7 linked regions of the Canis lupus familiaris genome follow. The protein of the gene in region 6 binds, or shares a complex with, the protein of the main gene of each other region. Links are inferred from orthologs where the notes say so. Each region holds a gene or a part of one and is shown on either strand. Other genes may lie near its edges. The genes, in order: EPC1, ANP32E, RUVBL1, ING3, MEAF6, BRD8 and MORF4L2.

What was found.
Region 1: BRD8 (region 6) and EPC1 share a complex: the UniProt entries of both Homo sapiens proteins name them as parts of the nuA4-related complex. The link is inferred for Canis lupus familiaris from reciprocal best matches to the Homo sapiens genes BRD8 and EPC1.
Region 2: BRD8 (region 6) and ANP32E share a complex: the UniProt entries of both Homo sapiens proteins name them as parts of the SWR1-like complex. The link is inferred for Canis lupus familiaris from reciprocal best matches to the Homo sapiens genes BRD8 and ANP32E.
Region 3: BRD8 (region 6) and RUVBL1 share a complex: the UniProt entries of both Homo sapiens proteins name them as parts of the nuA4-related complex. The link is inferred for Canis lupus familiaris from reciprocal best matches to the Homo sapiens genes BRD8 and RUVBL1.
Region 4: BRD8 (region 6) and ING3 share a complex: the UniProt entries of both Homo sapiens proteins name them as parts of the SWR1-like complex. The link is inferred for Canis lupus familiaris from reciprocal best matches to the Homo sapiens genes BRD8 and ING3.
Region 5: BRD8 (region 6) and MEAF6 share a complex: the UniProt entries of both Homo sapiens proteins name them as parts of the nuA4 histone acetyltransferase complex. The link is inferred for Canis lupus familiaris from reciprocal best matches to the Homo sapiens genes BRD8 and MEAF6.
Region 7: BRD8 (region 6) and MORF4L2 share a complex: the UniProt entries of both Homo sapiens proteins name them as parts of the nuA4 histone acetyltransferase complex. The link is inferred for Canis lupus familiaris from reciprocal best matches to the Homo sapiens genes BRD8 and MORF4L2.

What each region holds. Positions count from the first base shown.
Region 1 is NC_049223.1:12,483,819-12,487,860, forward strand, and holds part of EPC1 (enhancer of polycomb homolog 1), read left to right. Parts: coding exon 1-20; intron 21-901; coding exon 902-1,061; intron 1,062-2,092; coding exon 2,093-2,269; intron 2,270-2,361; coding exon 2,362-2,451; intron 2,452-2,541; coding exon 2,542-2,690; intron 2,691-4,042. UniProt on the Homo sapiens protein: Component of the NuA4 histone acetyltransferase (HAT) complex, a multiprotein complex involved in transcriptional activation of select genes principally by acetylation of nucleosomal histones H4 and H2A.
Region 2 is NC_049238.1:60,124,549-60,128,590, reverse strand, and holds part of ANP32E (acidic leucine-rich nuclear phosphoprotein 32 family member E), read left to right. Parts: intron 1-445; coding exon 446-621; coding exon of another isoform or gene 622-651; exon of another isoform or gene 652-666; intron 667-4,042. UniProt on the Homo sapiens protein: Histone chaperone that specifically mediates the genome-wide removal of histone H2A.Z/H2AZ1 from the nucleosome: removes H2A.Z/H2AZ1 from its normal sites of deposition, especially from enhancer and insulator regions.
Region 3 is NC_049241.1:2,139,197-2,143,238, reverse strand, and holds part of RUVBL1 (ruvB-like 1), read left to right. Parts: coding exon 1-101; intron 102-1,861; coding exon 1,862-1,925; intron 1,926-3,522; coding exon 3,523-3,721; intron 3,722-4,042. UniProt on the Homo sapiens protein: Possesses single-stranded DNA-stimulated ATPase and ATP-dependent DNA helicase (3' to 5') activity; hexamerization is thought to be critical for ATP hydrolysis and adjacent subunits in the ring-like structure contribute to the ATPase activity.
Region 4 is NC_049235.1:59,197,255-59,201,967, forward strand, and holds the start of ING3 (inhibitor of growth protein 3), read left to right. Parts: upstream 1-1,765; 5' UTR 1,766-1,827; coding exon 1,828-1,855; intron 1,856-2,102; coding exon 2,103-2,174; intron 2,175-4,713. UniProt on the Homo sapiens protein: Component of the NuA4 histone acetyltransferase (HAT) complex which is involved in transcriptional activation of select genes principally by acetylation of nucleosomal histones H4 and H2A.
Region 5 is NC_049236.1:5,015,846-5,020,482, forward strand, and holds the start of MEAF6 (chromatin modification-related protein MEAF6), read left to right. Parts: upstream 1-1,382; 5' UTR 1,383-1,443; coding exon 1,444-1,533; intron 1,534-3,686; coding exon 3,687-3,802; intron 3,803-4,637.
Region 6 is NC_049232.1:25,848,821-25,852,862, reverse strand, and holds part of BRD8 (bromodomain-containing protein 8), read left to right. Parts: intron 1-376; exon of another isoform or gene 377-767; intron 768-3,067; coding exon 3,068-3,349; intron 3,350-4,042. UniProt on the Homo sapiens protein: May act as a coactivator during transcriptional activation by hormone-activated nuclear receptors (NR). Isoform 2 stimulates transcriptional activation by AR/DHTR, ESR1/NR3A1, RXRA/NR2B1 and THRB/ERBA2.
Region 7 is NC_049260.1:77,644,829-77,649,486, reverse strand, and holds the start of MORF4L2 (mortality factor 4-like protein 2), read left to right. Parts: upstream 1-1,712; 5' UTR 1,713-1,778; intron 1,779-2,964; exon of another isoform or gene 2,965-3,175; intron 3,176-4,543; 5' UTR 4,544-4,632; intron 4,633-4,658. UniProt on the Homo sapiens protein: Component of the NuA4 histone acetyltransferase complex which is involved in transcriptional activation of select genes principally by acetylation of nucleosomal histone H4 and H2A.

The sequences.
Region 1 (4,042 bases), on a different chromosome or scaffold from region 6:
CTGGAAATTATGGAAAAGAGGTAAAGTATACTTTAATAGGGTCGGCTGTATCATACCGTTAGTATTATGTGTATTGTAGTATGGTTCCTAATGAATTAACCCTAGAAATACCATCCTTTAATAATAAGTAGAGATTATTAAATGTGTGATATGATATACTTTGCATAATTTTACATCTGTTCCTCTCTTTATTTTCTTTAAAAGTGACAGACAGGGCTCGGTAAAATTAAAATATGCCAGGTATAATCTTATTCTTTTGTCCTTATTTGAGTTTGAGTGCAATGTTGGGAGGGAGAGAATATTTGTCAGTTATAAAGTTTTTCATTTACTCACCAGATGGTACTGATTTTTTTTTTTTTTTAAACACCTACTGGGTTTTTTAACAGAAGTATAAAGAAGGGAGGGGAAGAGGCCCATAATTTTAACACTCAACGATTTGGCACAAGATACACAATGAAAACTTCAAGCCTCACTTCCCTATTTCCTAGTCACTATCTCCAAAGAAAACCACTATTAAATTTCTCATAATTCATCTAAGGAAAATTAGTTTTATATAGTACAGGCAATTCAAATTAGCAGAAAGTTCTTCACCATTTTAGGCATTAATTTCAATATCTCCACCAAATCTTTCACCAAAATTGGTAAGTTAAAATTTGAACCTTTGTTTTTTTCCCCACAGTTATCTATTTATGGTGCAAAGGTAAAGCTATAAGCCAAAAAGTAACGGAAGAAACCGAAGGAATCATGTAATCTTCATTTTAAATTAGCATTCAGCAAGTAATCAAAGTTTAATATTGCCTTCAGTCTACTCAGTGTCTATAATCGTATCTCAGGCTTTAATAGTCCTAAATATTTACAGAACTAACTTTAATTTTTGCAGCTTTCTTTTCTATAATTTCAGGTATAATTTGGGTGACTATAATGGAGAGATCGTGTCTGAGGTTATGGCCCAGAGACAGCCAATGAAACCTACTTATGCCATCCCCATCATCCCGATCACTAATAGCAGTCAGTTTAAACATCAGGAAGCAATGGATGTGAAGGAATTCAAAGCAAATAAGGTGATAAAAATTTTTATGATAATAGTAGCTGGTAATAGAATGTTGTTTTATCATTAGAGTGAAAAAGAAAAATACATATAAACCCTACCATGAACTATGCTGCAAAGTCCGCTTTTGATTCAAGACTAACCTGTTAATACAACAGTAGGAATAGTAAAGAGAGATACTGTATAGATGAACTCTTTAAGAATTAACTTTTCCCCCAAAAAACTGTAATGCCATAAACTACATAAAACTTGATACAGACATTTAGTATCTGTACACAGCCATGATACTTGCCGTGATCTTTTTCTTTCCAACAGGTATTTTTACCTGTAACCTTTCTTACCTGTCATACACTTCATACTTTAATTAGCCTTTGCTCTTACCTGCACACATATTTCTAACGTGCACTATCAGCTCAATCACTCTTGCTTCTGTATTTTATCCTTGTGTTGTCCCTGTTTAATGATTTCATCTCTGTATCATCTAAAACTGCCTAGATTCACTCCAGAAAGCCTTTGTTGTTTAGCTGCCAAATCTTTACTTCCCTTTATTTTTGTGACACCTACATATTAGGAGTTATCTGAGGTGCTTTGTGTGTGTATAAGATTAAGATTGTTTGCTTTATTATTTTCCCAAAATGGATTTGTTAACTCTTTAGAATAAAGACTAGGACCTCCCCCCACCCCCCGCCCTTTTTATTTTCTCCTAGAATTTTCATAGAAAATTTAGGAAAAGGTACAGGAACCAATGATAAATACTAACTGTAGTTACAGGATTTCAGAAGCTGAAGAACCTCTCTTCTTTTACTTTAAATGAAACAAAATATTTTATGAGATGATGTTTAGGTTGTAAGAACATGTCAATGTTTCACAGAAACCAACCTGTAATACTTTACAATATAAGATGACAAAACATAGGCGTCTTAGATCTCTTCTGAGTGCGAATGACTTCATTATAGCTCTAATCCTGTTTTTAAAGCATACCCCAAACTGCAGGTTTGTTGAACATGGTTTCTAGTGTTTGATTAACATACGACTTTATTGCAGCAAGATAAAGCCGATCTTATCCGACCTAAACGTAAATATGAAAAGAAGCCCAAAGTCTTACCATCGTCTGCTGCTGCTACTCCTCAACAGACGAGTCCTGCTGCACTGCCCGTCTTTAATGCTAAAGATTTAAATCAGTATGACTTTCCCAGCTCAGATGAAGAACCTCTCTCCCAGGTAAAGATAAAAATTTCTCTATGAGCATAGAGGAGAAGGAAGGAGTGACATAGGAAGTCACATGTTTTGACCCACTTCATTTTATTTTAAAGGTCTTGTCTGGCTCTTCGGAAGCTGAAGAAGAAAATGATCCTGATGGTCCTTTTGCTTTCCGTAGGAAAGCAGGCTGTCAGTACTATGCTGTAAGTTTCAGGTTCTCTTTTTTAAATAATAAGTTGTTTGCCTTTAACTGACAAAATAAAATAATTTTTTTGTTTGTTTTTTGTTTTTAGCCTCACTTAGACCAAACTGGCAACTGGCCTTGGACTAGTCCTAAAGATGGAGGATTAGGGGATGTACGATATAGATACTGCTTAACCACCCTCACTGTACCCCAGAGGTGTATTGGATTTACACGAAGACGGGTTGGGCGTGGTGGAAGGTAACTATTTCTGTATTCCTAGCATAGGTACAGTAGGGACAAAGACAGTAGGGTAATCAAATCTAGAGCTTTAGAGAGGGAATCCTTCTAAATAGCTCATTTGTTTCCATTTTCTGTTCTTAAATGATTTTTTTGACTAAAATACTAAAAGAGATTACAAAAAGTTGTTTCAGAAGTTCTGGCACATATTAGAAGAAAGGACTGAATAGGCTAAGAAATGTCATGTAATTAGTACACTAGGTTGTTTAACTTCTCAGTGAAAACACTCTAGAAGGGGTCCCTGGGTGGCTCACTGGGTTAAGCATCTGACTCTGGGTTTCAGCTCAGGTCATAAGATTGAGCCCTGTCCCTCTGCCCCTCCCCCTGCTCATGTGCACTCATTCTCTCTCTCTCTGTCTCTCAAATGAATGAATGAATGAATGAATGAATAAAATATTTTTTTAAAAAGGCTCCAGGATCCATGCATGGTCTGACGTTGACACCCAGTTTTTCAGGATCTAATCACTCTTTTGTTTAAACATGATAGTACCCCCTGTACACTCTAGATGCCTTGTGTGAGAATTTGTGTGGGAGGCAGGAAGGAATTACAGAACACATAAAAGTGAAGAAAAAGAAAGATAATCCTGTATAGGTAGGGGAAAAAAGGCAGAACATAGTATCAAGGTGCTTTCAGGAAGAAACCTGAGGATGTAGAGGGTTTTTTTTGTTTGTTTCTTAAAGATTTTATTTACTTATTCATGAGAGAGAGAGAGAAAGAGGCAGAGACACAGGCAAAGGAAAAAGCAGTCTCCCCAAAAGGAGCCCAGTGTGGGACTCGATCCCACATAGATCCCGGGATCATGTCCTGAGCCAAAGGCAGACACTCAACTGCTAAGCCACTCAGGCATCCCAGGATGTAGTTTTTAATGAATGCTTTATACGTATGTTTCTTTCATTTTCAAGTCTTAATTGCAGTTTTTAATTACTTTAGAATTGTCTGGACACTGAAATTATTTATTTTATTTAGTGCTTTCCCCCCAGTCATTACATTGATATCAATAGTAGCCAAAATTCCATGTCATTTATATTTTATACTATACTAACATTAGTCGCTGTTAGTATTTTAAGATGGAATTACTTATAAAGTTTATATAAATAACATAAAAATATATCTTCTACAGTAGTAGATCTCAAATATTTTGTCGATAAGAAATTTTAATGCTATAAAATATCCCAAAGATAGCATACCATTTACTGCTTTCTCCTACCTCCTCCACCCCTGCCCCCCCCCCCCAAAAAAAAGAAGGAAGTTTTTGCTTAATAGAGAACTGATCTTTTATAAAGTGTTTTGGTGCTTTGTAACGGAAAGAAAA
Region 2 (4,042 bases), on a different chromosome or scaffold from region 6:
TATTTTAATGAAAATCTGTACGTTGGAAATATTTCAGTATTTAGAAACCATAGTTCTCAAATAGTAAATATGGATGTTGTGAAAGGGAAATCTTTTTTTTTTTTTTTTAAGATTTATTTATTTATTTAGAGAGCGAGCGAGCGCACACAGGTGAACAAGTGGGGAGAGGGGCAAAGGGAGAGAGTCAAGCAAACCTCCTTACTTGAGGGCAGAGCCTGAGACCATGACCTGAACTGAAATCAAGAGTTGGACACTTAACCATCTGAGCCACCCAGGCACCCCCTGTAAAAGGAAAATCTTAAAAAAAGAAAATATCCCTGAGATAGTTTCCACCTTCCCATTGGCTTTAGAGTTTGAAGTGATTGGGGCAAGGGCAGATAGGCTTAAAGTACTAGCAAGAAACATTTGCTCAGCCACTCACTCATCTTTTAAAATATTTTTAAAGATGGAGATGAAGATGATGAAGAGGAAGAAGATGAAGCTGGTCCACCTGAAGAATATGAAGAAGAAGAGGAGGAAGAAGAGGAGGATGAGGATGAGGATGAGGATGAAGCGGGCTCGGAATTGGGAGAGGGAGAAGAGGAAGTGGGCCTATCATATTTAATGAAAGAAGAAATCCAGGTGAATAGGCATTTCTTTATTACTAAATAAAGTAATTATTTAGGCATAAAGCCAAGGTCTATAAATAGTTCAGTTGTGAAGAAATCTGAAAATTGTTACTAACTTGCAGGTCTGAGCGTGTCTATCTGTCATTTTTCCTACTGTCCCCTGGCTCAAACTGTATCTAGGGCAGCCTGGGTGGCTCAGCGGTTTAGCGCTGCCTTCAGCCCAGGGTGTGATCCTGGAGACCTGGGATCGAGTCCCACGTCGGGTTCCCTGCATGGAGCCTACTTCTCCCTCTGCCTGTGTCTCTGCCTCTCTCTGTGTGTCTCTCATGAATAAATAAATAAAATATTAAAAAAAAACAAAACTGTATACAGATCATCATAAGCACCTATGGTTTTACCACCTAGGTATCTTGAAAATCCATTCTGCCCAGAGCAGCAGGGTTCATGGAAACATTTTACAAAAGTTTCTGAGCTTCAGCTTCTGCATTTATAGAACTGAAAATAATATCAACCTCTTAGGCTCTTTTCAGGGTTTAACAAGAGAATATAGGTAAATTATCTAGTCCCTGGCACATCGTAGGCCCTCAGCAACACTTTCCCTCTAATTATTTTTTGTTTATGGTTTTGTTGTAGTTTTCCAAATGGCCTCTTAAATACAGTGTCACCACTTAGGTGTATCCTTCACAGTCTGTGCTTGCTTGCTTAGTCTGAATGCAAATGTGATCATATCACTGCCCTGCTTGAAACAATTTAATGTTTCCCTGTTGCCACCAAAATATATACAAGACCCATCACTATCTAGTCCCTGTTTGCCTCTCTAGCCTCTTCTCCCTCAATTTTATTTTATTTATTTTATTTTATTTTATTTTATTTTATTTTATTTTATTTTATTTATTTTATTTTATTTTATTATTTTATTTTATTTTATTTTATTTTATTTTATTTTATTTTATTTTATTTTATTTTATTTTATTTTATTTATTTTATTCTATTTTATTTTATTTTTAAAAATTTTTATTTATTTATGATAGCCACACAGAGAGAGAGAGAGGCAGAGACACAGGCAGAGGGAGAAGCAGGCTCCATGCACCGGGAGCCCGATGTGGGATTCGATCCCGGGTCTCCAGGATCGCGCCCTGGGCCAAAGGCAGGCGCTAAACCGCTGCGCCACCCAGGGATCCCCCTCAATTTTAAATTAAATCCTCACACTAAGCTGTTTCTTGCCTTTCTGTCTGAAGATACATTGTTTACTCTTAATCTGAAATGACTTGCTACTCATGCTCTCTGATGAATGCTTTTTTTTTTAACTGAGGTAAACATAAATATAGTTAAAGCCTGTAAAGTGCACGGATTTTATGTACAAGTTCACATTTTACTTATGTGTATACTTGTATGACTACCACCCAAATCATGACTCAGTTCTGGAGTTGCCTCATTATTGAAACTTTATCTATAATTTTTTATACTCCTTCCTTCATTACCTTTTTTTTTTTTTTTTTAAGATTTTATTTATGAGAAAAACAGAGAGAGAGAGAGAGAGGCAGAGATATAGGCAGAGGGAGAAGCAGGTTCTCCGCAAGGAGCCCAGTGTGGGACTCGATCCCGGATTCCAGGATCAGGACCTGAGCCGAAGGCAGATGCTCAACTGCTGAGCCATCCAGGCATCCCCCTTCGTTACCTTTGAATCTTGGTTAGTCTTCTCTTGCTCATAGATACTTTTGTAAAAACTTGTTTACTTGGCTACTTTCTACTAGATGGCGAGTTCCATAAAGGGAGGGTCATCTGTCTTTATATCTCAGTGTCTAGTACATTAACAGGGACATAGTAAGCTCACAGGAAGTGTCAGTTGACTTGAATAAATGATCTTTTGCCCCTGGGAATTACTATTTCCTCCTAATGTTTTTAAATTACTGAGTTTGTTTGCATAATTCAGAGTTTTTTATTAAAAATATCTCTTACTTAGGGCAGCCCCGGTGGCACAGTGGTTTGGCGCTGCCTGCAGCCCGGGGTGTGATCCTGGAGAACTGGGATCGAGTCCCGCGTCGGGTTCCCTGCATGGAGCCTGCTTCTCCCTCTGCCTGTGTCTCTGCCTTTCTCTCTCTGTGTCTCTATGAATAAATAAATAAAGCCGAAAAAAATATATCTCTAATTTAGACTAGAAATTATTAGTATTCTTATTTGTTCTCCTAAGGACTTTTACATTGGTTAGATAATATCCCTGATCAGTGATAATTTTTCTCTGATACCATTTTATTTTATTTTTTAATTTTTTTTAAGATTTTATTTATTCATTCATGGGAGACACACACACACAGAGAGAGAGAGAGAGAGAGAGGCAGAGACACAGGCAGAGGGAGAAGCAGGCTCCAAACAGGGAGCCTGACGTGGGATTCCATCCCAGGTCTCCAGGATCATACCCCAGGTCGAAGGCGGCTCTAAACCACTGGGCCACTGGGGCTCCCTGTTTTTAATATTTTTAATTAGTTGTGTTGTAACCTTATGTTTAGAAGGTGAGAGTCAGTAGAAGCTTCCGAGACTATCAAGATTCAAGAAAGAAAGTAGAAGGAGATAGAAATGGGATTTGATTAGCTATTTTTGGTTTGAGTATTCTTTTTATTTCAGTTACTCTTCAGAGGTAAGGAATTAATATGTAAAAAGATGGACTTTATGTTTGTGTAGTACACTTCATTAAAAATGGGGGTGGAGGCTTTAGAAGAATTGGAAATAGTGGTGCTCCTGTACTATACATAGTATAGTGAGGAAACATGGATTTCCCATTAGTTAGGAAGAGACCATAGTTTCTACTGAATAAGCCTTTGGTGAAAGCAGAGTTTTTATTGAGGGATATTATCTAAAATGATATTAAAAACTAAAGGCTTAGATGATGGCTATACTTGGCAGTGAGCATAGCTTTAGGTAAAGACTTGTTGAGTCACCCTGTTGTACACCTGAAACTAAGGTGACATCGTGTGTCAACTATATTTCAATTTAAAAAAAGGCTTAAAAATGTGAATCAGTTAATGTAACCATATATATATATATTTAAAGATTTTATTCATTTATTCATGAGAGACACAGAGAGAGTGAGAGAAGCAGAGACATAGGCAGAGGGAGGAGCAGGCTCCATGGAGGGAGCTTGATATGGGACTCGATCCCAGGACTCTGGGATCACACCCTGCGTCAAAGGCAGACGCTCAACCAATAAGCCACCCAAGTGTCCCCATATTTTGTTTAAAAATCTGGAGAAGCAATTAGCTATTGAGAATGAGAGACACACAGAGAAAGGCAGAGATGTAGGCAGAGGGAGAAGTGGAGAAGTAGACTTCCTCTGGGGAGCCCAGTGCAGGACTCGATCCCAGGACCCCAGGATCACACCCTGAGCCAAAGGCAAATGCTCAACTGAGCCACCCAGGTGTTCCTATGTTCCTTTTTAT
Region 3 (4,042 bases), on a different chromosome or scaffold from region 6:
AAGAATATGTCCCCTTGCCAAAGGGCGATGTGCATAAGAAGAAAGAAATCATCCAGGATGTGACCTTGCATGATTTGGACGTGGCCAACGCACGGCCCCAGGTACTGCCTCGATGCCGGCATGACCTGGCACACGAGCGCTTTTGTGTGTTCACAGAAGCTTTGGGAATGAATTGTCAGAGTCTTGCTGCCGTTTCTTAGGGCAGACGGTCCTTTTCTATCTGTAATGTTCAGCAATTAACATCGACATGAGCTACTGAGGGACTCCTTTGTTCCAATTCAAATGCTCTAGTCACAGATGATTTCATGTGTATTGTTTCTTATCCCAGCCAAGCCTCTGGCCGTGAGTTAGCCAGCTTCTTCTGTGGCTTCCCTCCAAGCAGCGGGCTCAAGCCTGGGATTCTCTGGGTGTTAATGGTGTAGGGCAGGAGTGTTCTTTGAGCCCTTTGCAGGATTTCAGAAAGCCCGACAAAGCTGTGCCTTTCCCCCTGTTCTAGCAAACTCTTTAGTGTTTTAGCTTTGAGCAGGATTTGTGTCTGTTCCTCATGCTGGCAAGATGAAAACTTAACACCTTGACTAGTAAAATGTGGGAGAAGAACAGTATGACTATGTGACACCTCTGCAAAATGTGTGATTTTAAAACCCTAGTCTTCCCTGCTGGTAGTCTTTCAGTTTGATTTCCTCTTCATCCTGGAAGAGTCCTCCTCTTTACTAGCAGGGAATAGGCTTTCTTACTTGAAATTCGATCCTTGGGTGTTTTGCCCCTTCGAGCATTGGCCAAGACATTGCTGAAGAACTGTCTTGGACCAGCAGGTCCCTCTGTGTGGAACAGCTGTCCCCAAAGCAGCCTCCTGGGAGCTTTCGCCTTGGTTGGAGTGTTTGGCTGAGAGTTGGAAGTCGGGGATTGTGTCATTCCGACACTGATGAGCTTGGTCCATTAGTTGCTTTGCCTCCCTGAGTTTTCTGTGATTTAGGGCTCTTTGGCTTCGAGTTTCCTTCTCTGTGAAGAGGGCAAATAGTGCCTACCCTGTAGGATCAGATGTAGTTTCTCAGGAAACATCTGCTACATTTTACAACTAAACATTTAGTGAGCACCTCTGTGACCCAGCACCTGGCAAAACAGGATCACAAAATGCTAGGCAGGTGACAAAAGAGCACCTCTTCTTGCTGACTGCACTGGGAAGGGCTGGCAGGAGGGTGCAGCAGGTGGTGAGCCTGTTAGCAGCCTGCTGTTCTGTAGGATTGGCTTCCCCGACCAAGCAGCTCTAGACCAGGATGGGATTAATGTGACTGTGCAGTCGAGTCTGGAGACAGGAGATGCAGGAACAGAGATAAGTACGTCCTTACACTTCCCTCAACAGTCCATTCGTCCCCAAGGGAACTGGAGCATCAGCAGAGTGAAGGGCCAGATGCCCCATGAGGGTGTTTGACTTGAACTTGGATGGATAACTAGAGATTCCTGGAAAAGACACCGTGCTTCCTGGCAGGTGGACTAGAATATGCAAAAGCATTGAATCATAAAAGAACATGGGTGTTCAGAGAAGAGTACGGTCCTATGTGGCTACTCAGGGAATACAGGATCGGCAAAGGATATGGCTGAAGAAGGAGATTGGGGTAGGCCCCACAGAACTGGTACTTCCCACGAAGGGATTGTGCTCATTCTTGCAGTCCAAGGGGAACCTCTTAAAACTTCCTCCGTGTTGAGAGTTCCTCACGTTTTCCAGTGAGGGTGCCTGGGGTCTCCACACCTAGGACCCCGTGTCCAGCTGATAGTAAGAACAGTGTGATGGGGGTGGTGGTAGTGAGACTTTTGCAGCTGCCTTAGAAAGTTGGACTGACTCTGGGAATCTTTTGTTTTGCAGGGAGGGCAAGACATCCTGTCCATGATGGGCCAGTTAATGAAGCCAAAGAAGACAGAAATCACAGGTAAGAGAAATAGGCCTGTGAGCAAGAACCAGAACCCTAGAGCCCTGGATTCTGATGTACTGTGTGAGGCTTTTTTTTTTTTTTTTTTTAAGATTTTATTTATTCATGAGAGACACACACAGAGAGAGAGGAGGGGCAGAGACACAGGCAGGCCTCATGCTGGGAACCTGATGTGGGACCCGATCCCGGGTCTCCAGGATCACACCTGGGCTGAAGGCAGTGCTAAACTGTTGAGCCACCCAGGCTGCCGTGTGTGAGGCTTTTTGAGTGAATCCCCAGACCTGAGGAAATGCCTTAGGACAGGTTCGTTCTCCTTTTCAGAGCCTGGCTTTATCCTGGCAGTCGGTGGCTGTTTTAGACAGCTGTAAATAAAGCATACTGTGTGCTTCCAGCCCAGAGTGCTAGTGCATCCTCTTGAATGCATTCAGTATCCTTGCACTCATCTTTGAAGATGGAGGCTGCCAAAACCTCTGGTCCTTTCGAGGTCCAAGAAACATGGATGGTATTGCCCTAGCTGTGCAGGAGAACTCCCGCCAGACTGCTCCTGAGCACAGCAAATTCCACCACCTTGGTACTTGGCCTTCTTGCCCTACAGCCGCAAAGCAGCTCCCAGCCTGCCTGGCTCAGCTTCCTGGGCATGTCCCAGAGCTTGGCAGGAATGTCGCTGTTCCCTTGTGGACCTTTAGTTTACCCTGCTTCTCTTCCCAACTGGTACATCCCTCTTTTTTTCTAAGTATTACCTATAATTCTGTCACCTTAAAATGTTAAACATTAAAGCCTCTGTTTTTTGTTTCATGTTAGCCAGTGGAGTGATCTGAGACCTGTCTAGTAGAGTCTCCAAGAGCAGTTTCTGTGTTTTCACAGTTTTAACCATGAGTTCTCTTTTGACCATCCCTGCCTCATGAGTTTAGTGGACAATGCAGCATCAGATCTTCGTGTTCTGTGTTTGCGAGCAGCTCCCCCCTGATGCTAATCAGGAGCTGGTTTGGAAAATGAGAACTGTGACCTTAGATGGTCTTATGTAACTCTTGTGAGACCCGTCCCTCTAGAACTCTGAGGTTGGACCTTTCCTCAGAACCTGCATTCCTCACAGTTTTCCTTCCAGAGAAGATTCTGCACACACCCTGTTCTTCATCTAGGCACTTGATTGAAAGTTAATTAACCTAAGCTTTGTCACATAGGGCCAAAAGAAAGGGTCACTTAGCGCAGAACAGGAAAATTTGCATATGAAAACTCATTTCACACAGGGCTCCTCAACTTCTGTGTCTCTGCGATGTCACAGGGCACTAAATGGGTTGGTGTGAGTAATAAGGCAGCTGGGGAGTGTGCCCTTGTGAAGACATGCAAAACTATAAAAGCCACTTACAAACTTAACATATCAGCAGGGGAAGCTACCGGTTGTGTGACTTCTATGTGGTGATTATATTCCTATTTCCGGATGATAACACTGAAGTGGGGACATAACCTGCCTGGGTCGTATAGTTAGCAGTACAAGTGGGCTCCACACTTGAGTTAGGATCATATTCGGTTGGGGGAGAGAAGAAAAGGGGACCACTTCCCCACCTGACTATACTTGTCTCCTCTCACTATCTCCTAGACAAACTTCGAGGGGAGATTAACAAGGTGGTGAATAAGTACATTGATCAAGGCATTGCTGAGCTGGTTCCAGGTGTACTCTTTGTTGATGAGGTCCACATGCTGGACATAGAGTGCTTCACCTACCTGCACCGGGCCCTGGAATCTTCCATCGCCCCCATCGTCATCTTTGCATCCAACCGAGGCAACTGTGTCATCAGGTAGGGTGGCTCTTTGCCAGCCTTAAGGCCTTTCCACCTTCCATCTGGGTTCATGTTTTCCTCTGGGATCACTTTTTTTTTTTTTAAATTTTTATTTATTTATGATAGTCACATACAGAGAGAGAGAGAGAGGCAGAGACACAGGCAGAGGGAGAAGCAGGTTCCATGCACCGGGAGCCCGACGTGGGATTCGATCGCGGGTCTCCAGGATCGCGCCCTGGGCCAAAGGCAGGCGCCAAACCGCTGCACCACCCAGGGATCCCGCCTCTGGGATCACTTTAAACCCATAATGTAATAAGTCAAGATGGAGATGAAGGGAGA
Region 4 (4,713 bases), on a different chromosome or scaffold from region 6:
GCCACCCAGGCGCCCCTGTTCAGTTTAATTTGTATAAGACATTAGAAAATGGCTCAAAAAGAACCACATGGAATTTGTAAGAGTGAAAAGTTGAAAATATTGAGATGGGCCATATAAAAGTAAGACCAAAAAAAAAAAAGGTAGATAAAGTGAGAAAATCTCAGAGATGTCCCATGGACATTCTAAGAGATAATGGAGAAAACAGAAAACAAGCAACACAGAAGAGGCAATGGTTGAGAATTTTCTACATTCACCGCAGGACACTAGTGCTGAGAGTCAGCACTCCTTTCAAATCCTAAGCATGGTTTGAACTTTTTTTTTTTTTGAATGGTAAGAAGGAAGGAAACAAAGAAATGACTATGGACCTAGATTCACCACTGAGAAACCACAGAAATATCCAAGAGATCTTAAAGGCAGCCGGAAGGAAGGAAGGAAGGAAGGAACGAAGAAGGGAGTGTAGGAGGGAGGAAACCCGAAAATCCTAGATTTTAGATAAAAGTACAGAAAGTAAACTAGGTAATCATTAGAATTGAGGTGGGTTTCCCTTGACATTCACCAACACGACAGGTGAGCATCCTGACCATGAGCGGTGGAAAAAGTCTTGGGTAGAAGAGGGCGGAAGGGAGAAAACTCAAAAATGCATCAAATGTCTCGACTCCAATTTGAAAAAAAAAAAAAAAAAAAGAAAAAAAAAGTGAAAATAGAACACTGAATGGCGAACTGAAGACACATTTCCCAGGAAAACGAACAGAGAGCTAAGGCAGGTGGGAGAGAAAGATGCTCTCGACCTGTGCTGCGTGCAGATGTTCTTAAGAAAAAGAAAACTGAGCCGTGAAGGACCGAATCCATCACGGGGCGGGGAAGGGGTCCCGGGGTAGAAGATGACCCCTCCCGCGGGTGTAGACAGCTGGGGGCGGGCTGCTTACTCAACACCGCCTGAAGTCATTCTTAGAACAGCTCATTCGACAGCAGCAAGTCTCCATCCGTTATTTCTGCTTGTTCTCTAGTTCTGCTTTTTTTTTTTTTTTTTTTTTTTTTTTTGGTGGGTGCACTTCGTGCGTTCAGCTCGATGACATCACGGTGACGACGAGCCGGACCGCGGAATAAAAGCAGGTAAAGAGCGCGTGGAGGGCGGCCACCCGTCCAGGTGCAGGAAAGCCAAGCAGGCGCCTCGTGGGTATTTTGAGCAGTCGGAGACTAAGGATGCGTTCCAGCCAGGAGTTCTGTCTTACACAATGCGGATCGCCCGAACTCCGCTGGCCGTTCCGGCGCTGGAACACCTTCCACCTGCCCCGCCCGCCTGGAAACCCGCGACTCCCAGCCGCCGGGGCCACCGAGGCACGCCGGCCGGGAACAGGTGGAAAGTTGCTCCTACTTGGGTTCCGCGGGCGCCTACAACTCCCGTCATGCCCCGCGCCGGCATCAACAAATAAACAGAGGCACCGCATTTCGGATTCCGCGGCGCACGGGGCGCAAGGCCGCCTGGTCTTCGTAGTTGCCACGCCGGTAACCGCCGGGCGCGCCGATCCTCGCCGTGGGGGGGAACCGGACTACACTTCCCACAAAGCCGCGCGGGCGGACTCCGGCCGGCTGACGTCATCGCCCCAGCCGGCCAATGACGGCTCCGGGCGGCAGTGAGGCAAGCGCCGTCAGGCGCCAAAGTGGTTTTTTTTTTTCTTTCTTTTTTTTTTTTTTTTTTTTTTTCCGCCGAAGCCGAGCGGGTGCTGCTAGCGGAGGCGCCATATTGGAAGGGACAAAACTCCGGCGACAGCGAGTGACACAAATAAACCCCTGGACCCCCTCGTTGCCCCAGCTCTAAGGGCCGCGATGTTGTACCTAGAGGACTATCTGGAAAGTGAGTGGGCGGCGCTGGCGGGGGCCGCCTGGGGGACCCGCGGGCGGGCGGGCGCGCGAGCGGCCGGGCGGGCGGGATGGCGGGAGGGAGGGGGAGGCGGGGGATGTTTCTTTCTCACGGTAACTGGCAGCCGGGCTGTGGGCTGCCGGCTCCTTCGCCCCCCCCACGCACGCACGCACGCACGCAGTGACGTCAGCGCGCCCTTCGCCGTTGGCCCCGCCCCGCTGACGGCCTCTCCCTTTGACAGTGATTGAGCAGCTGCCCATGGACCTGCGGGACCGCTTCACGGAGATGCGCGAGATGGACCTGCAGGTGCAGAGTAAGTCGGCGGTTCGCCCGCCCGGCCGCGCGCGGTCGGGGCCAGACCTTCCACCGACGTCGTCGCCTCTGCTCTCTGACTCTCCTCCGGCTCACGGGCTAGTGCATAAGGAGTCGTTTAAAAAAAAAAAAAAAAAAAAAACAAACGCCAAAAAAACCCCCCCAAAACCATAAAACCACACACACACATACACAAGGCAGTGCCGCATCTTGCCTCTTGCTGTCCACGCCGCTTCCCCCTTTGCTTTTACCCGAGGAGGAGGCGCTGGGGCCCGCGTGTGTGTTTCTTTCCCGAATTCAAGACTGGGATAAAAGTTTCTGTGCCTCGGGGAGGACGTAGACACATGCTTTTAACGCACGTCGGTGTAGGTGTGGAGAAGATGGTGGTTTCTGGCCCGAGCCCTTGCGTCCGGAACGTAGATTTCGGCATTTAGACTTCTGCTGAAGTTGGTTCTGCTCAGAATTTTCTGCAGAGCGGAAAACCCAGCAGCCTGGGGGTTGGTGTGGCTCTTTAGTGACCCCGCTGAACTTGGAATGTCGAGTCTTGCAAAGCCGCACCTTGCAGGATGCATTCCCACCCGCCAGCAGGATGATGCTATTCCCCCCCCACCCCCCCCATGAAAACGAGTGAGGAAAATAGACCTTCCTGTAAAGCTGCTTATCTGTTGCAATAAAAGTGATGACTTCTCATCGATCAGTGGTAGCTTGGTAGTCTGGTTCCTTCCCCCTACCCACCCACCCCCCCAAAAAAAATTAACCGTTGTTCTTTCATAGAGCAGTATTTGGTTTATCCGATTGTTTTGTTTTGTTTTGTTTTTGTGAAGGATTTGACTCAAAGCAAGGAAAGAGTCAGTGCCTTGGAAACGAGGAGGTCAACACTTGGAGCAAAATCACAGTTAAAACGAGTACGAATTTACGCCTGTCGTGCTCTGAAAGAACCTCACAGGCCTTCTCCCCCTTTTATGAAATGAATGTAATACAGCCGTTCCGGTTCTCTTGCAGGGATACCATACTGTGAACTACGAGTGCGGAATGAATTACACGTTACACGATTATTTTATTTTATTTTTTTTTTACGTTACATGATTAAAATGTACAATGGGGTGTGCGCTTAAGCCCGGATGTCACCCTCTCTGTAGATGTAGGCTTGGCTGCCAGCAGCGCATCTCGTCTAAATTGATCTAATGTTTTTCTAATACTGTGGATGACATGAGATAATGCAAATAGCCCGTTGACCTAGGTCCTGAAGACCGTCCAACAGATGGTCTTGGAGGCTGTTGGAGCCTGAAGATGGCTCCAACAGAGCAGGGGCTGCCATGGTTACTGACCTGCACTGAGTAGTTTTTATCCAGAAATCAATTAAAGTTGCATTTGTTACTTTAAACAAAACAAAACAAAACAAAAAAACTTGTGCAGTTGATATTAATGGCTGGCCTTCATGCGGTCTGTCCTCAAGAAAATACGTGCCTTGATCCCATTTATTCTAGCTGTGGTTAGGCTATCTACGTAAAATGTTTCTCATGCCACTAGGTTTTTTTTTTTTTGTCCTCGAAAAGTAGCGGTGGAGGAGGATCTGGGTTTGGGGGTATGACTGGGGGGAAAAGGGTATCATGGAAAGAAATCAGAGACCCAGCATCCCTGAGGATCCTGCAGCTCCTGAGGGCCTGTCCTTTCCCCCGTGCTTCCCCACCCCACACTCGCACCCCACGCTTTCATACCCACGGGTGATGAATATAGGTTCCTGAGCCTCTGGTGCGTTCCATGTGGCCATGCGGCATACAAGGTGATGGGCTACGGAAGCCTTCTTTATGTTCAGTGGGTCATAGTGTAGGAGTCTGAACTGTGTGTTTCTTTAGCTTGCCCACAAAATTCATTTTGACTGTCATGTAGTTGAAATGCTAAAGTAGCGTTTTCTATGGGACTGAGCACAGATCTTGATGTCAGATAGATCCGAGTTCGTATTAGAGTTTTGCTGACTTACTCTTTGACCTTGACCGCATTACCACTTCTGAGGGGTTTTCCTTGTCTATAGAATGGAGATCATCTGAGGATTTAAAATAACACAGTTAAACTAGAATTTATAGTATCTGATACAAAGCAGAAGTTCACGAAAAGGTGACTTATTTTTGCTTCGTTATCATTACAAATTTTAAATTCTCTTGTGATTTGTAATTGGATTATACAAATGAGAGGTTTTATTTTTTTATGTTTTTTAAAGATTTTCTTTAAAATCTTTGAGAGAGAGCACACGTGGGTGCAGGCACACGAGCAGGGGAGGGGCAGAGGGAGAGAGAGAAGCAGCCTCCCCCGCTGAGCAGGGAGCCGACTGGGGTTGGGGGCACCCAGTCCCAGGACCCTGAGGTCATGACCTGAGCCAAAGGCAGGTGCTTAACCAGCTGAGCCACTCAGGCGCCCCAGATGAGAGGTTTTATACACTTGCATTTTATAACAACTAGAATTTTCTAAAGTTAATAGATCCTATAGATTGATAAAAGAGACTTCTTTGTAAAACAAGTTAGAAATTGCTTATTTAAACAAAG
Region 5 (4,637 bases), on a different chromosome or scaffold from region 6:
CTGTGTCTCTGCCTCTCTCTCTCTCTCTCTCTGAATAAATAAATCTTAAAAATATATATATAAAGAATTATACACACTGGCCAAGTGAGGTTCAGCCCAGATATGCAAAACTGGTTCATAATGGAAATAAATCTAGATAATCCACTATCCCAAGACACTAGAGAAAAAATGATTGTGTCAATGGCATAGAAAAAAGCATCTGACAAAGTTCAATACCCATTCATGATAAAAACTCTCAATAAGGGATCCCTGGGTGGCCCGGGATCCCTGGGTGGCGCAGCGGTTTGGCGCCTGCCTTTGGCCCAGGGCGCGATCCTGGAGACCCGGGATCGAATCCCACATCGGGCTCCCGGTGCATGGAGCCTGCTTCTCCCATTGCCTGTGTCTCTGCCTCTCTCTCTCTCTGTGTGACTATCATAAATAAATAAAAATTAAAAAAAAAAAACTCTCAATAAGCCAGAAGTAGAGGGGGAACTTTCTCAACTTAATAAAGAGCATCTAGAAAAACAGTATAGCTAACGTACTTAATGGTGAAAGACTGTGACCTCTCTTAATGTAGAACTGGAAGTCCTGGCCAGCACAGTAAGGCAAGAAAAAGAAATAAGCATACAGATTGGAAAGGAAAAAAAAAAAAAAAATCAACCACCTTTATTTGCAAATGAGATCACGTAAAAAAAAAATCAAAGAATCAAAAAATAAAAAATCAAGGAATCTGCAATAAAACCCTCCCAGAATTATAAGGGAGTTCAGCAAGATTTCAGGTTACAAGATCAACACAGGAGAGAAGTTATCCAGAATGCAGCAGAGAGACCAAAAAAAAAAACAAAACAAAACAAAAAAAAAACCAGTGGGTGAAAAACAATAATAAAGGATTATTACATTTGATTTGAGTTCCAGAAGGAGAGGAAAGTGAGGCCCAGGAATACCTAAAGATGAGAATGTCTCCGAAGCAGGGGAAGATCACCGACCCACAGGCTGTAGAAGCCCAGACTTCCAAGCAAGGCGGGGGTGGGGGGTGGGGGGGGATGAAAAATGAAAAAAAAAAAAAAAAAATCCGGGTCGTGATGGGGACATTGCAGGACCCTGGAAGGTGCCAAGGCGCCGGTAAGCCCTCTTACTACCTGCACTTCGCGGGCCCGGCCTGGACCGCGGGGGAGTCGGCCCCGGCGGGTCGTGACCTCGGCCCTGCGCGCGCTGCCCTCCGAGGGGCCGCGGCGAGGTCTACACCGGGGCGACACCCGGCCGCACCCTCGGGACCCGGCTCCGCGGGGCGGGAGGAGGGCGGAGACCTGGGCGGGGCCCCGGCGGGAGGGGGCGGGGCCGGCGCGCGCCCCGGAGACCCGGAGACCCCGCGCGCAGGCGCAGTGCGGCGCGGGCGCCCCCTGGCGGCGAGGGCGCGCAGGGCCCGCCCCCAGCCCGCCGCCGCCGCCGCCTCAGCCCAACATGGCGATGCACAACAAGGCGGCGCCGCCGCAGATCCCGGACACCCGGCGGGAGCTGGCGGAGCTGGTGAAGCGGAAGCAGGAGCTGGCGGTGAGGCGCCGGCGGCGGGGCGGCCCTCCGGGGCCCGGCGCCCGCCCCCGGCCCCAGGCCCCGGCCCGATCGCGCCGCGGCCGTTACTCCCCCGGCGCCGCGGCCGGGAGCGCGGAGCCCGGAGCCCGGAGCCCGGAGGCCTGGGGGCGGCTGCGCCTTCCGCGGCCCGAGCGGCCCGAGCGGCCCGGCTGGCGGCGGGGCCGGGGGCAGGGCGGGGGCGGCTGTGCGCTGGGCCTCCCGCGGACCCGGGGCTCGGGGGCGGTGCGCTGGGAGGGGGGCTCCGGGGGGGCCTGCGATGCTGGGGGGCAGGTGAGGCCGAGGTCCGGGGCTCGGGGGGGCCTGCGATGCTGGGGGGCAGGTGAGGCCGAGGTCCCGGGGCTCAGGGGGGCTTGCGATGCTGGGGGAGCAGGTGAGGCCGAGGTCCCGGGGCTCGGGGGGGCCTGCGATGCTGGGGGAGCAGGTGAGGCCGAGGTCCCGGGGCTCGGGGGGGCCTGCGATGCTGGGGGGCAGGTGAGGCCGAGGTCCGGGGCTCGGGGGGGCCTGCGATGCTGGGGGGCAGGTGAGGCCGAGGTCCGGGGCTCGGGGGGGCCTGCGATGCTGGGGGGCAGGTGAGGCCGAGGTCCCGGGGCTCAGGGGGGCCTGCGATGCTGGGGGGCAGGTGAGGCCGAGGTCCCGGGGCTCGGGGGGGCCTGCGATGTTGGAGGGCAGGTGAGGCCGAGGTCCCGGGGCTCGGGGGGGCTTGCGATGCTGGGGGAGCAGGTGAGGCCGAGGTCCGGGGCTCGGGGGGGCCTGCGATGCTGGGGGGCAGGTGAGGCCGAGGTCCGGGGCTCGGGGGGGCCTGCGATGCTGGGGGAGCAGGTGAGGCCGAGGTCCCCGGGCTCGGGGGGGCCTGCGATGCTGGGGGGGCAGGTGAGGCCGAGGTCCGGGGCTCGGGGGGGCCTGCGATGCTGGGGGAGCAGGTGAGGCCGAGGTCCCGGGGCTCGGGGGGGCCTGCGATGCTGGGGGACAGGTGAGGCCGAGGTCCCGGGGCTCGGGGGGGGGGGGCCTGCGATGCTGGGGGGGCAGGTGAGGCCGAGGTCCCGGGGCTCGGGGGGGCCTGCGATGTTGGGGGGCAGGTGAGGCCGAGGTCCCGGGGCTCGGGGGGGCCTGCGATGCTGGGGGGCAGGTGAGGCCGAGGTCCCGGGGCTGGGGGGGGGGTGTGCCTCCGATGCTCCGTGGGGGGGGGCAGGTAAGGCCGAGGTCTCGGGGCTGGGGGGGGGTGCCTCCGATGCTCCGGGGGGGGGCAGGTAAGGCCCTAGGTCCCGGGGCTCGGGGGGGGGGGGGGGTGCCTCCGATGCTCCGCGGGGGGGGGCGGCAGGTGAGGCCCGCGACCCGGCCGGCAACTCAGGCTGTGCCCTGGCTCCCCCAGGCTCCGGGCCCCCTCCCCGCGACGCGCGCACCGCCGAGGCGGGCTCACCTGCGGCTGCCCTTGCAGGTTTCCATGACAACTGACAGCCGGGGCTGCGGCTGGGGGGCTGCTCACCCCTTTCGCGCCAGCAGCGGCAGCGCCTTTGTGCGTGGGCGTGGAGGCTGCTCAAGTCCTGCTGACAGCTGGCCTGCCAGGAGCCCTCCGAAGCATATGCAAAATCTTGCACATTTTTTGGGGGGCGGGGAGGGACTCTTTTAAGATTTTTTTATTTTTTTATTTTTTAAATTTGTTTATGAGAGAGGGAGAAGCAGGCTCCATGCAGGGAGCCCATCGCGGGACTCTATCCCGGGACCCCAGGATCGCACCCTCGGCCAATGGCAGGCGCCAAACTGCTGAGCCACCCAGGGATGGGGGGAAACTCTTGACAGCTGCCCTGCCATGAACCCTCTGAAGCATATGCAAAATTTTGCACATTTTGGGGGGGGGGGGGCAAGACACAGGCTCTCTTCATTCCCTTCTATTCCCAAAGGGCTCCAGCAAGACAGGTCTAAGGTTTGCACAGTGTTAACCTAAAAGTGCCTTCCTCTCCCCACAGCTGGTCTCCCTTCCCCTCCCTGGATGGTCTCTACTATAGGGGACCTCGAAGGTCTCGGGCTAATACTAAGGGTCTGGTCTGGTCGGAATTAACGTTTGCATTTAAAAGGTATTATCCATCCATGTCCTTGTTTTTTCCCCCGTCTCCCAGGAAACACTGGCGAACTTGGAGAGACAGATCTATGCTTTTGAAGGAAGCTACCTGGAAGACACTCAGATGTACGGCAATATCATCCGCGGCTGGGATCGGTACCTGACCAACCAAAAGTGAGTGTCACAGGCCTGTTGGTATTGTGCCCCCAGTCGTTATTTATTTTTCCGATTATCTACGTTCTTGGTAGCAGCTTTGGAGGGAGGCGGCAGTAAAGCGGTGGTGTGAAAAGCCATCTGGGGTCCAACGTGGACTCTGGCTCAGCCTCTGCCTCACTGAGTAATTGTGGACAAATCCTACATCTGGGAAACAGGGGAAGTTGGGCCGGTGGTACAGGGTGGTGTGAGGCATAAACCAAACACAGCGAATGACAGTACCTGACGTATCACTTTTTTAGTGTTTCCCTTTTTTTTTTTTTTAATCAGTCATGAGTTTCACCTTTACAGTATTTGCCACCCCTGTGTGCTGACCATATTACAATTTAGTGATAACTATTTAGAACTGTCTAAACGTTTTAAACATCTTCAGGTTTGACATTGAAATAGTACTGTGCACACTTGATGCCCGTGACCTGCTTTCATCAGTTGTTAACATGTTGCCACATTTGCTTTCTCTCTAATGTATATAAACATACACATATTTATACTTTTTTTTTAAAGATTTTATTTATTTATTCATGAGAGACACAGGCAGAGGGAGAAGCAGGCTCCTTGCAGGGAGCCTGACATGGGACTCGATCCCGAGACCCTGGGGTCATGCCGTGGGCCGAAGGCAGGTGCTCAACCACTGAGCCACCCAGGGATCCCCACATACCCATATCTATACTTAAAATTTTTAGAGGCACCTGTGTGGCTCAGTCAGTTAAGCATCTGGCTCTTGATTTCAGCTCAGGTCATGATCTCAGGGTCATGGGATCAAGCACCATGTCAGGCTCCATGCTGAGCATAGAAC
Region 6 (4,042 bases):
TTAGCCAAGAATATCACTATCCACTGCCCTTTCTGACCCTCCCACCTTTCTTTTACTCTTTCTGTTTCTTTGAACACAGTTTAGGGCCTGGGTGGGATGACTAATAGTCATTCTTTGGGACCCCAGATGAAACCCCAGGGACCTCTGTGGTGGGCAGGAGCAAAATACTCTGTCCTACATTTCCTCTCACAAACTACTGCCAGGAATTTTTAGCCCACTCTGTGGGAAGACAGATCTGTACCTCTTATTTCCTGGATTTTTCTGCTGATTCTCTTCCTTCCCCCAAGAAACCAAATCCCCCAGCATTGTTGAAACTTCTCTCTCAGGTTCTAATCAACTCACTCATGCTCAATTTCTTTGTCTGCCTATCATCTAGGATGGGGGCACCAGGGGGCGCCGCTGTGCCATTGAAGCAGATATGAAGATGAAAAAGTGAAGCTTCAGAGTATCCTCATTGAGCTGAACCTGAAGTAGAAGTAAACAAGAAAGAGCTTGGGCTTGTCGGCCCAGTTCCAGAAGTGGAAGATACAGAAGAGGAGGCATCTGGGCCATGTGACATGAGCTGGGGAAACTCTCTCAGAGAGTTGAAGTAGCACAATTGCCTGTTTTAGGGCAAAAATCATGGGCTGTGTTAATGTCCTAATGCGTAGCTAGCAGATTGTAGCTAGTTTGTACTGTCTTGTGAAGTGTACAGACTTTTTAAAACAAAAACAAAACACCTGTGAAGTGTATATGTATACACAATAAACTGAGAAAAGAAAACTTTAGCCTTTGGTGTGTTCTGTGTTTGTGTGTGTGAAAAACTTGTGGTTTTTTTTCTGTGCGATAATTGTTTTGTCTGTGGAAATAAGATGATTGGGGGGGAAGTGGTATTATGATATGAACTGTTCAGCTTGGAGAAGGTAAGTAATCAATATTGAAATTATAACTAATGTTCTAAAGTGCTGCATTGTGCAATGAGGATGATATGTTTTTCTGGAATGTTTGGGAAAACTTAAATGTTTTCAGAGTTCTGTTCATGGCATTGCTTTTAATGAAGATTAGAACGTGGACATAAGTAGCACTGACCTTTATCTCAGACATTTGTCCTACTTAGTGTCCTATCTTTGCAGATGGTATATCTAGGACAGTATAGCACTATTTCCTTCCTCATCCTTTATGTAGGGTTCTTGTGTATTTTAGAATTCATTGCTACTTGAAGGCAAAATCAGTTTCAGAGTTAGCAAATTTATTACTTGAGTTTCAGTTTTTGTTACTAAATAAAAATTGTGTGAAATGAACTAGTCATGAGCCTTTTATTATAAAGAAATGGACATTAATAGGGTATTGTCTCATATGTTGAGCCTTCTTGAAAAAGATATGTTTATGAAATATAAGTCACAGATCTTTCTGGCTTAAACTCTGAAGCTTGTTAGGATGCTAAGGCAGTAGCAGATAGTCTTACGGGGTGATAGGAATTCAGTCAATCCAGGAGTTAAAGATTAGTAATTATAGCATAGGAGCACCTAGGTAGCTCAGTCGGTTAAGCATCTGACTCTTGATCTCAGCTCAGGCCTTGATCTCAGGTTCAAGCCCCTCAATGAGTGCCACTCTGGGAGTGGAGACTACTTTAAGGAAGTACAATATATTCCCAAAGCAGTCTACAAACTTGCATGTGATACAAGCAGTGAAGCCCTAAAAATGGGAGAAGATTGTAGAGGAGTTCCATTAAAGGATGCAGATAGAGTTTGGGTTGACAGAGAACATGACGGGTATGCTTAACGGTAGATTGGATTAAAAATCCAGAAACCAGGGGGCTATGACATTTTATTCAAGAACAGAGGATGGGTTTTGAGAAAAATTATTGTGGATGAAAATTGGGAAGTGGGGTTACTTCCTGAATATAAGAGAAGTAAAGAGAATTGGGAAAATAGTGTTGATAAGGGGGATAAGGGAATTTGAGAAAGCGAATGCTTTTTAAGATAGAAACAGAAGTGATTTTAGTTAGAAATGTTGAGTTGAAGCAGATGGTAGGGCACCTAAAGGGAATAGTCCTTTGGGTGCATGGAAAAATGAGACCAGAATGCACATAAGAAGTAAAGGTGGAGATCTGAGAACTATTCCAGTAGGGAACAAAGTTGAAACCTCAAAACGTAGACCTTATTTTAAGTGAGTATTAATGAGGAAGCAAAGGACAAGCAAGAACACTGAAACTTGTAAAAGGAAAAAGAGCAGTCCTCTCAGGCTCAGAGAGTTAAGCATCCAACTCTTGATTTCAGCCCAGGTCTTAATCCCAGGGACATGAATTGGGCTCCATGCTAGGTGTTGAGCCTACTTTAAAAATAGGAGAAAGGGGTAAAAAAAACAGGATCGTGTAGTGTAATGAGAGGAAAGGAAGATACTTTTAAAACTTGATACAGTTCTCATTCTGCGAAGTGAGTTGGATATGACCAGAAGGATGCCACAGATAATTTTAAAGTATATTTTGAGGACTTAGTGGTTGATAGATGTCTACACACTGAGCAAAATAGCTCTTGTTCCTCAAATGTATTGTCTTCCAGTTGAGTTTAAGGGTGATTTGGGATAGAGGAACTACTATGCTAGAGGAGCTAGATATGCTCCTGTTCTTTTCTTTTGGAGTGTGAGGAAACCCAAGAAAAAATTACCGGGTAATACCTCTTTTATACTGTTTGACTTGGATCCCTGGGTGGCTCAGCAGTTTAAGTGCCTGCCTTCAGCTCAGGGCCTGATCCCAGGGTCCTGGGATTGAGTCCCACGTCAGGCTCCCTGCATGGAGCCTGCTTCTCCCTCTGCCTGTGTCTCTGCCTCTCTCTCTCTCTGTGCCTCCCCTGAATAAATAAATAAAATCTAAAAACAAAAACAACTGTTTGACTTGGGGCTTTTTCATTTTATTCCCAATGACAAAGATTTCATCCCCTGATGTCTCCCTTCAGCTAGCTTTTATTATGTGTGATGATGAGTAGAAAGAAGTTTCTGATCTCTTATCTTTCTACTGAACTTTAGACATGAAAATGCCTAAGAAATTGTAATATGAGTGAACTTAATGCATTTTTCTGTGTATTTACAGATGGGGCATGAGTGGGTTTGGTTCGATTCGGAGCCAGATTATTATCCCAATGACTCTGAGCTGAGCAACGACTGCAGGTCCCTCTTCAGTTCATGGGATTCCAGTCTGGATCTTGATGTGGGCAGCTGGAGAGAAACTGAGGAGCCAGGGGCTGAGGAACTAGAGGAAAGCAGCCCAGGGAGAGAACCTAGTGAGCTGCTTGTGGGGGACGGAGGCAGTGAGGAATCTCAGGAAGAGGCAGAGCAAGTCAGCCGCCAGAATCTCCTCCATTTTCTCTCTGAGGTAATGGGAAGCCATTATTTCCAAAGTTGAGTCTCAGGGATCCCTGGGTGGCTCAGTGGTTTAGCCTTCAGCCCAGGGCATGGTCCTGGAGTCCCGGGATCAAGTCCTGCATCGGGCTCCCTCTGCCTGTGTCTCTGCCTCTCTTTCTCTGTGTCTCTCATGAATAAATAAATAAAATCTTAAAAAAAAAAATAAAAAAGTCTCAACTTTCTAAGAGAGTGCTTGCCCATACATATTTCTACTACTCTTAATATTGTTCACTAAAATGCAAGCTCCACAGTGGCAGAAACTAATTGCTGTGTCTGTAGCACTTGGTGCTAATAATACAAAATATGTGCTGAATACTTTTTGACCAAGTGTTCTAAGATCTCAGTCTAAATTAAGAGCCCCCCCCCAAAAAAAATTAATTAATTAATTAAGAGCCCAGGGTCATAGGAAGTAGAATTTCCATATGCAGGACTGCCTTATGAATATCTTTTGTTTTTGTTTTGCCTTATGAATATCTGTTGCAATTCATTTTTTGGAGTCCTGGGAGGTGACATCCACACTCTTTGAAGGTTTTAACATTATGACTTCAAGACATTATTTTACAGTGTCCTTATTACACTGGTTTTAGAGTTGAGGGCCAGAAATAAACCGAGTTGGACAGAGTTTATATTTATGTGGCAACTTCACACATCAGGAGAACCTAGG
Region 7 (4,658 bases), on a different chromosome or scaffold from region 6:
GCACTGTTGGTGGGAATGTGAACTGGTACAGCCACTCTGCAAAACTGTGTGGAGGTTCCTCAAAGAGTTAAAAATAGATCTGCCCTACAAGCCAGCAATTGCACTGCTGGGGATTTACCCCCGAAGATACAGATGCAGTGAAACGCCGGGACACCTGCACCTCGATGTTTCTAGCAGCAATGTCCACAATAGCCAAATGGTGGAAGGAGCCTCAGTGTCCATCGAAAGATGAATGGATAAAGAAGATATGGTCTATGTATACAATGGAATATTACTCAGCCATTAGAAACGACAAATACCCACCATTTGCTTATACACGGTTGGAACTCAAGGGTATTATGCTGAGTGAAATAAGTCAATCGGAGAAGGACAAACATTATATGGTCTCATTCATTTGGGGAATATAAAAAATAGTGAAAGGGTATAAAGGGGAAAGGAGAAGAAATGAGTGGGAAATATCAGAAAGGGAGACAGAACATGAGAGACTCCTAACTCTGGGAAACGAACTAGGGCTGGTAGAAAGGGAGGTGGGCGGGGGCTGGGGGTGACTGGGTGACGGGCACTGAGGGGGGCACTTGATGAGATGAGCACTGGGTGTTGTGCTATATGTTGGCAAATTGAACTCCAATAAAAAAAATAGATAAATAAATAAATAAATATAAAAACAAATCTCGGCCCTCACCCCTCTGTGTGTGCGTGTGCACATGCATGCATGCACACAAGTGTATATGATTGATAATTTAAAAATATTAATTTTTGTTTTTTTGAAGTTTATTTATTCACCCATCTAATAAGGAATTTGTGAGGAATAAAAGAATATCCATGTATAGGATATGACACAGGATCTAAAATATAGAAAGCATGCAAAAACCTAAGTATCAGTGAACATAAATCGTCTACTCAAGGTCTCACAGCTAGTAAGCCGGGAATTAAAATTAAGTCTCTAACTCCAAAGACATAACAAAGTGTAGCAGTACCACTACAAAAAATAGGGTGCAAACACACTTATTTAATAAAAATTTGAAGAGAAAAAGATCAGTTTTCAATATCAGGGTCCAAGTTCTTATCTGTCTTTATTGACTAAATATCCACCTACATTTTCCACTGGGGAGTGTTGTTAGCATTGGAAAAGATGCACAGAAAAGATTCAGATCTTCATGGGCATCAGTGCCTGGGGTCATTGATCAATTCTGACCCCACAAAAAGGCAAGGAAGAAAGGAAAGAGGGCTGGAGGGGAGAATTTTTTTAAAGAAGAAATAAGGAAAAACATATGAATCTAGAGCTATAGTTCTCTGTCTGGTTGGGCTAATTACAAATGTTAATTTGATTTTTCCTTAGCAATGAAAGATATACATGACCTCTATACATTGTGGAATTCAACAAATCAGAAAGGGGGGTAAAGGGATCCCTGGGTGGCGCAGCGGTTTAGCGCCTGCCTTTGGCCCAGGGCGCGATCCTGGAGACCCGGGATCGAATCCCACATCGGGCTCCTGGTGCATGGAGCGGGCTTCTCCCTCTGCCTGTGTCTCTGCCTCTCTCTCTCTCTCTCTCTCTGTGACTATCATAAATAAATAAAAATTTTTTAAAAAAATCTAAAAAAAAGAAAGGGGGGGAAAAATCCCAGGATTCCAGGGACTAACAGCCAATCCTTTGCTGGGATTTGGTGGCATCTAGTGGCAGATTCAGGAGGTATAAACCTCACCCAGAGAACTTTCTGGAAAACTAGCTGAGTGCTACTTGCCTGAAGGGCACTGTGCTTGGAGATCAAAACAAAAAGGTAAGAGAGCCTCAGCTTCTACAGAAATTGAGAGTCTCTATGTGTGTGTGTGTATGTGTATATATATATATATACATATATATATATATAGAGAGAGAGAGAGAGAGAGAGAGAGAAACTGAAGGGGAAGGTTATCACATACAGATATTTGAGGCAGAAAATTGTGTTTGTGCCAACAGAATGGCAGGCAACGTTGGAGGGGGGAGAGAGGATACTAGGGAACCGAAAAAAAAAGCTGCTCTTTGGAATTGCTAAGATGGGAACGTTTGACTCTTACCTTTTGGACGGCTATGGTTTAAAACAGGATTTTGGCAAGAGAAAAAACGTGGGAAGCAAGTGTATTTTTACGGTCTGAAATTAAATCGCTAGGAGAGGTAAAAATATTCCTGGCAAATGCTCTTTATTGGTTATGGTCGCCTTGACTTATTTTATTTTTCATTAGAACAATTTTCAAACTTCTAGAAAAGTAGAGAATATTCTGTACACAGCGCGCGTGCACGCGCACATGCACATACGCATGTGCGCGCGCATACACGCACGCCCGGATTCCAGGACACACGCCGACCCCAACGCTGTCTCTCAACGCTAGGGGCGCACGCCTGCGCACAGACACCACCTCCAACGCCACGAGGGCTGCCGCGCGCACATCCCAATCTCAAGGCCACGGGAGCTCGCCCGCGCACACAGAGGCCCCAACACCACGCCCACACACACCCACCACCCCAGCTTGTACACACATTAAAACACCCGCTCTGTTTTCTTTTTCACTCCGATAGTTGCGCAAGAGGTTGGGGGCGTGGCCCCAAATTTGACCTCGCGCTTCCCCACTCGCGGGAACCTTAGCTCATTTCCGCCCATCCTGTTTCCGCAGGCCACGTAGGCACTTCCTTTCCCAGTGGAAAAAAAAAACCCATAATGCCTCCCTGCAGGGGAAAAAAAAAAAAAAAAAAACTCTGGCCAGGGGAACTCTGGGTCGTGAAAATAGGCCACGTGAACACCCTGCCCTATAGACTTATGACCCAACGGCTGTCGCGCTTTTGAAGGGCGGGCTAAGAACCTAAGAGGGCAAGCGTCATTGGCCAGAGCCTTCTCTAAAGCAGAAAGATGATTGGTTTGCTTCAAGCCTTAACCGTGAAGAAGCAGGTTGCTAGCACCCGCCTTTACTGCGGCGAAGAGTCATCGCTGACGTGTTAGGCTTCGTCCAATCATTTGGTTATGGAACATTCTAAAACTTAGACAAGACGATTATCATTGGCTGGAGACCATAAGCCCGCCTCCAGGGTGACGTGTCTGCCTATGGATATCAGTTGCCAGAGAAACCTGGCTTTACTATGGCGGTTGGAGGGACGGCAGTGATCACACGTCGGCTGCTGGAAAGAACTGGATTCTCGTTTCAGGTTTCGGGGTGGGGGTGGGGTGAAAGGGTTTATGGTTTATTTCTATCGTCGCATATATTGACAATATTAAGTAGTGCCTTCACAGTTGGGCAGAGCTGCTTTCAAATTCCTACTCGCCAACGCCCAGCTTGGGCTGGCTCCTGTTCTTTCAGTGTCTCGGTTTCCATGTTTGTAAAATGGTGATAGTGATAGTATCTACCTCAGAGACGTGTACCTCAGAGGCTTGTACTGTGTATTAGTGCGTATAAGACGCTTAATACCAATCCTGGTTCCGAAAGATATTCGCTATTATTGTGGAGTGAAAAACCCGCGTAATAGAATGAGAAAAAAAACAAATTGTGTAAATTTGTTCATTACAGTGCTTTTTCTGCTCATCAGATTCTTCTTATAAGAAATTTGAGCTTTAAAAGAGACATATCAATCTTTGCCGATGAAATAATTTACTATTTGAGAATTAGCTCAAAATAGCGGGGATTGGAATTTTCCATATTGAAAAGTTTAAAAGGCGGGGGGTGGGGGAGATGGAGAACGAGAGCGATGAGGAGATGAACCACATGCGATGAGTAGGCCTTGTTTGGATCCTGATTTGAACACACCAACTTAAAAACACTTTAAGATGCATCGGGAAAATTTGAAAATGGATTTGATGTGTTTTTTTTTTTAAGGAATTGAAGTCAATTTTTTAGACGTTATAATGGCATTAATGGTTGTGTTTTCAAATTATCTTTATTTTGTAGAGGTATATAGGAAAATATTTGTGGATTAAGTAATAAAATGTCGGAGAATGACTTCAAATACGTTGATGACTGGGATTTGCTTCAAGATAATCTCAGCGGTAGAGGGAAGTGGGGAAGGGTATAGATGAAACAAAACTGGCCCTAAGTTAATAATTGTTTGAGCTAAGTGATGGGGCATATGAGGTTCCTTTTATTATTCCGTCATCCTTGGTATGTGTTTGACATTTTCTGTAATAAAATACATAAAATCAGCTATTCAGTGAGCTTAAAAAAAATCGGAGTGGGGGGAGCAGTGGGTGGGGTTATAGATAAAGCAAGATGGCCTTCAGTTGGTAATTGTTGAAGCTGGGTGATTGGTATAGGTTTATAATACTCTTCCTTCTACATTTTTATTCATTTGAAATTATCCTTATTAAAAAGTATAAAAATACAGTTACTTTATCAAAAATAAGGATAAATGTACAATAAATTTGAAAATATAACCACAAAAAAGGAAAAAGACACATTTGTACATTATTTATCAGCAGTGGTGTCCTTTGTGTGTGATAAAATGCATTGGTTGATGGAGAAAAAAAGGATCTCATATCTTTTTACTTTATGTCCTTTTCTGTCCCCTTCTTTGACCTTCCAGGCCAACATCAGAAAAGCTAAGTTTGCTGTATAATAAGGATCAGAAGATCTGATCCTGATTGCAGAACCATCCCTGATTACAGAATCTGAGTAAGTGCCTCCCTTCTCCTGGTCTC